Canis lupus familiaris: one gene and its partner. The protein of the gene in region 1 interacts with the protein of each later gene in a biochemical or structural test. Links are inferred from orthologs where the notes say so. Each region holds a gene or a part of one and is shown in the gene's direction. Other genes may lie near its edges.

What was found. The genes of interacting proteins can lie anywhere in the genome.
Region 2: of the proteins of RACK1 (region 1) and PRKAA1, one has a biochemical effect on the other in vitro, tested with the Homo sapiens proteins (2 studies listed by BioGRID). The link is inferred for Canis lupus familiaris from reciprocal best matches to the Homo sapiens genes RACK1 and PRKAA1.

What each region holds. Positions count from the first base shown.
Region 1 is NC_049232.1:609,530-611,748, reverse strand, and holds the end of RACK1 (receptor of activated protein C kinase 1), read left to right. Parts: intron 1-76; coding exon 77-187; intron 188-622; coding exon 623-763; intron 764-1,135; coding exon 1,136-1,246; intron 1,247-1,571; coding exon 1,572-1,637; 3' UTR 1,638-1,679; downstream 1,680-2,219. UniProt on the Homo sapiens protein: Scaffolding protein involved in the recruitment, assembly and/or regulation of a variety of signaling molecules. Interacts with a wide variety of proteins and plays a role in many cellular processes.
Region 2 is NC_049225.1:69,524,363-69,528,019, forward strand, and holds part of PRKAA1 (5'-AMP-activated protein kinase catalytic subunit alpha-1), read left to right. Parts: intron 1-218; coding exon 219-443; intron 444-1,789; coding exon 1,790-2,276; intron 2,277-2,394; coding exon 2,395-2,521; intron 2,522-3,657. UniProt on the Homo sapiens protein: Catalytic subunit of AMP-activated protein kinase (AMPK), an energy sensor protein kinase that plays a key role in regulating cellular energy metabolism.

The sequences.
Region 1 (2,219 bases):
TGTCCTGAGCAGTCCTGACCCCAGTTGGTTCAGAGCCAGATTCTTCACCTTTTACCCTCCACCTTACCAAACCTAGGTATGGAACCTGGCAAACTGCAAGCTGAAGACCAATCACATCGGCCACACGGGCTACTTGAACACCGTGACCGTCTCTCCGGATGGATCTCTCTGTGCTTCTGGAGGGAAGGTATTCAGAAACTGGGAGTTTACTACTCAGTGAGGGACTGTTTTAAAAAGATATTTAAGATATTGAGGTAGCAACCAAGAATAAATATCTTAAGATTGCTTCCTGGAAATGACATAGATAAGGCATACTGTTTTAAAGAAAAAGATTGTTTTCAGTAAAGCTGGTTTCTTGAAACTGTTCTTTTCAGAACTGATTGTTCTTTTCAGAACTGATTTATTTAGAAGTTGTCAGAGACATCGTAGGGTTGGTGAGGTGCCCTGCATTAAAGGAAAGGCATTCAGAGATAAATATTGGTATTTGAATCATTCATTAGTTTTTGGGAAGTTTGCGGGGGAAGGGGGACTGTTAAGTAATAAAAAAAATTTTTGAGGCAGTTAAGATTAACAACTGCAATGGGTTTCATATTGCCCTGACTCACCTTTCCTGTCTTCCCAGGATGGCCAAGCCATGCTGTGGGATCTCAATGAAGGCAAGCACCTTTATACACTTGATGGTGGAGACATCATCAATGCCCTATGCTTCAGTCCTAACCGATACTGGCTATGTGCTGCCACGGGCCCCAGCATCAAGATCTGGGTGAGTGTGGGCTACAGTTAAGGCTGAACACCTGGCTGTACTCTCTGAGTCCTGGTAATGTTGTGATTTCCTGATCTGTCACTGCTGGGATTTGAGCTTTCTGAATACCTGCTAACCATGCGGCTAGCAGTGGAGATCCAGGAAGAGCAAGGTAACAGCTTTCCAAGACTGGGATCTGCAGTGGTGGCAGACACTTGTCTACTAAGGGGGATGACAACTTACTCAACTTCAGCACAAGTTGATCTAGACTGTTCTGGGGGCAGGGGGAGGCATTCCTGTATTTTAGGCTGTTCAGTAACATACTCAGCCTCTACTCCCAACTGGATGCCTGTAGCAGAGTCCCTCCTTATCCTGATTTTGCCCATTCCCCAGGACTTGGAAGGCAAGATCATTGTAGATGAACTAAAGCAAGAAGTTATCAGTACCAGCAGCAAGGCAGAGCCACCCCAGTGTACCTCTCTGGCCTGGTCTGCTGATGGCCAGGTAAGTGAGTCTCTGAAGTGACTTGGCTTCTACCTTTTCTCTCTTCCTTTATTCTTGGTGTGTCTTTGACATAAAGTAAAGTGATAAAATTAGCCAGGTTGATTTGGGAGGACCAGATTAACTGTCAGTGAACAGAGTACATGTTCTGGCATTGGAAGGAAAATTGATCGATCTAGCAGTGATTATTAATTACCTTCTCTTGGAATACATACCACCTACAACCTGATGGTTCAAGGATTGGTGATCTTAAAAGGCCATCTTTTTACTAGAAATGCAGAGTTCTGTGACTCTGACATGACCTGTCGCTGTCCTTTCTCCCTTGCAGACTCTGTTTGCTGGCTACACCGACAACCTGGTGCGTGTGTGGCAGGTGACCATCGGCACCCGCTAGAAATGATGGCAGAACTTTAGGAATAAAACATTGGTTTTCTGACTTGTTTGTTTTTCTCTGATAAGCTACCTTCTAATGCTGTATTGCATCACAATGACTTGTGTCTCAGGTATAAATCCTCTAAGCTTGCAGAAAATGTTCTTTAGGAATCGTAAAACCTCAGTTCTAGCTTTATGACATAAATAATTGAACAGATAATTCCTCAAAGCAGTATTATAAAACACAGTATTTTGAACTCTTAATCACACCTGGCTTTTGCTCAAGTGGTAGCTATCTAAGTAATATACTTTTGAAATAGCCTATAGAGATCTTCCATTTCCATTTCCTTCAATTTTATCATGGTATTTCAGCAAGATACAATCTCAGATTTGGGAAATGTCAAGAGTCTTAGGAAAACTGTAGTCCTAAAGCCTCAGAGCATTAATATACACAAAACAGCAATGATCAGCAGATGATCTTCAACTGTATCCTGAAGAGGGAGGGTGCCAATTAAAAAACTGGGTCACTCAGGGGGTGTGTGTGTGTGACTATCACAATATGGAAATAAGATTGCACTAGGTTTAAAAAAAAAAAAAGGACTTC
Region 2 (3,657 bases), on another chromosome or scaffold:
AGTTTAGCTATAGTCTAAACTTAAAAAAATTTTTGACTTTTGTTTTCAAAGATAATACTGATAGAATTAGTATAGAATCTTTATGTGTAGTATGTAGCAGTGACTATAGAAACCATATTGTAATAATTCTTTATGAAGTATCCATATTTAAAATTTTTTATTAATTGATCAACTCTCAAGTTACTAATTATTTAATTGATTGGTATTTCCTGTTACAGATTGTATGCAGGTCCAGAGGTAGATATATGGAGCAGTGGGGTTATTCTCTATGCTTTATTATGTGGAACCCTTCCATTTGATGATGATCATGTGCCAACTCTTTTTAAGAAGATATGTGATGGGATCTTTTATACCCCTCAGTATTTAAATCCATCTGTGATTAGCCTTTTGAAACATATGCTCCAGGTGGATCCCATGAAGAGGGCCACAATCAAAGATATCAGGTAATAATGCAACTTGGAGATGATCAGATCTAATAGTTTCAACGATACAAGTTAAGTGAAAAAAATAGTTGGACAGTATATACAATGTAATGCCATTTTTATGTTAAAAATATAGTACATAGGCATATTTATTTTATTTTAGTATTTAAAAATACTAAACTAGCTACCTTAGGGAAGGAAGATTAGTAGTAGGGAGGGCTTTCACTTTTTACTTATGCATCTTTCTTTTGAAATTGGAACAGTGAATATTAGTTTTTAAATATGAAAAGGTAGGTAATGTGGAATAAAAAGGACCCTGTTGGGATGTTACCTTTGTAGTTGTTCTTTAAGATTTTCTGTAGTATGCTTCATATTTGACTTTTATGTAGTCTCATTAGGATTAATGCTTTTCACTAGTAGCAAATTTCTGTGTCACTCTTTGAGTCCTGATCTCATGAGTTACTGTTTTTTTTCTTTTGTTCATCTTAAGTAATGACATTTAATCAATGATGTGTGTGGTTTTTGGGTAGTATACATTGAATCACATGTGAAATTACTGGTTTCTAAGTTTCATATGGAAGGGCATGCTTATAACTACCAATGGAAAAGGACAAAATCATTCTTTAAAATTTTAAATATCTAAGTGAAAGATGCTTTTTCTTGTGTTTTACATGTTTTTTTTTCCAATTTAAATTGGAAAAGACTTAGAAAACACCCAAAAAATAGAGATCTAAAATGATCTTTAATTTATCACCCAGAAGATAGTTATTGTTCTTTTGGGTGTTTTCCTTTCTTGATGTTTTTAGTTTTAGCAGTTTTTGACATAGTTCAGGTCCTTTTATATATGGAGTTAGGAAACTCTTAGTTCCTTCATTAAAAATAAGGAGATATTATCATCTTCATAGAGTTGTTTTATGAGGTGAGATAATGTGTTGGAAATATTTAGCGTAAAACCTACCATTATAGTAAGCATTCAATGAATGATAATTGTCTGTTTTTGTTGTTACGGTTTTTTCACTTAACATTATATCAAAAGAGAATTAAAATCACAGAATATGTTCTTTTTCTGAGCTGGGAATAAGCTCATCTTCATCATTTGTCATTGTCATTTGTGCCAAAACTTTAAAAGTGTAGACATTTATTTTCCTGTTGGTACAACATTGCTTTCTCCCTCTTAAAACCAGAGGGAGGTTGTAGCATTTCCTCCAGTATATATACACAATGAAATGTGAGCCAGAGGAGGAAAGTCTCAGTTTGAAAAAATGAAAATATAAATGAATTTATATCCTAAATTCCCCAAACTGTTGCTTGCAGTCTCATTCATCTCTACTCAAAATCCTCCTCCTGACCCTGCTGTTTTCTCTCAGGGAACATGAATGGTTTAAACAAGACCTTCCAAAATACCTTTTTCCCGAGGATCCATCGTATAGTTCAACTATGATTGATGATGAAGCCTTAAAAGAAGTATGTGAAAAATTTGAGTGCTCAGAAGAGGAAGTTCTCAGCTGCCTTTATAACAGAAATCACCAGGACCCTTTAGCAGTTGCCTACCACCTTATAATAGATAACAGGAGAATAATGAATGAGGCCAAAGATTTTTACTTGGCAACAAGCCCACCTGATTCTTTTCTCGATGATCACCATTTGACTCGGCCCCATCCTGAAAGAGTACCATTCTTGGTTGCTGAAACACCTAGGGCACGCCACACTCTCGATGAATTAAATCCACAGAAATCTAAGCACCAAGGTGTAAGGAAAGCAAAATGGCATTTGGGAATTAGAAGTCAAAGTCGACCAAATGATATCATGGCAGAAGTTTGTAGGGCAATTAAACAACTGGATTATGAATGGAAGGTAAGAAAAAAAGGACATTCTGATTGTAGTAATAAGCACATTTGGCAAACCTGTAGTTTATAAATTGTTTTCTAGAAGAATTGATTTTGATTTTGCTTTTGTTCATACCATACACTAGGTTGTAAACCCTTATTATTTGCGTGTTCGAAGGAAGAATCCTGTGACAAGCACCTACTCCAAAATGAGTCTACAGTTATACCAAGTGGATAGTAGAACGTACTTACTGGATTTCCGTAGTATCGATGGTATGTACACCCCACAAAACAACATAGCAGACATACTAGACCTTGTTACCTAACTTGCCTTTTTAGTCTTTGATTCTTTTGAAGCTTCTTGAATTGTTCCTAGTAATCAATAGTGAAAGAGTATAAAATGTGATTTTGTGCCTCTGTGATGTCAACATTTGTGAATCATGTTTTTCTTGTAATGTTGGTGTATTGTCCTTTTAAGATTATCTTAAAGTGGGCAGCCCGGGTGGCTCAGTGGTTTAGCACTGCCTTCAGCCCAGGGTGTGATCCTGGAGACCTGGGATCGAGTCCCACGTCAGGCTCCCTGCATGGAATTGAGCCTGCTTCTCCCTCTGCCTATGTCTCTGCCCCTCTCTCTTTCTCTCTCTCTCTCTCTCTCTCTCTGTATGTCTCTCAGGAATAGATATATAAAATCTTTAAAAAAAAACAAAAAAAGATTATCTTAAAGCCAGATGCAGTCTGGTCCTAAAGGGATAGTTTCTGCCACATTCCTGTTTTGTTTTTTTTTTTTTTTTTTGGTATGGTTCATTTGGTAAGAAAATGTTTTATTTAGAAATAAATGTTGACTTTTTATTAAATATTTTTATATCTGATATTTAATTTTGTTTTCATTCAAGAATTAAAGTACCATTAGCTTTTAGAGTTGATTGATAAGGCAGTGTGAACAGATTTGGTTAGTTGCTTATAGGACAAGGAATTATTTGTCAAGTAAAGTTTCTTGCTGGGGACTGAGGGAGAAATGTTTTGGATAGTTTAGGGACTTATGCTTATTTTTCTCCTCTCACCCAGCCTTTTGCTCCCAGCCTGACACTAGACACATATCAGAGATACCCATCCTTTATGAGTTTTGTGAGAGCTACATGATTCCAATTTTATCTACCTCTTAGTAAAGTGTTCTTAAGTAATCACTTTTATATGAATGCACTTTATAAGGATTCCTGGGACTAAAGCATCTTATGTTCAAGATAACTGTCATAATTAGTTAAAAATGACATTGTTAACCTTAACTTTAGACTGTTGTGCATTTCTATTTACCTACAGTCATAAACAATCAGAGACAATCTGATGATCAAATCACTGAAATATTCAGACTTTTTAAGTTGGGTATTTTAATTGGTCATCAAAATGATGAC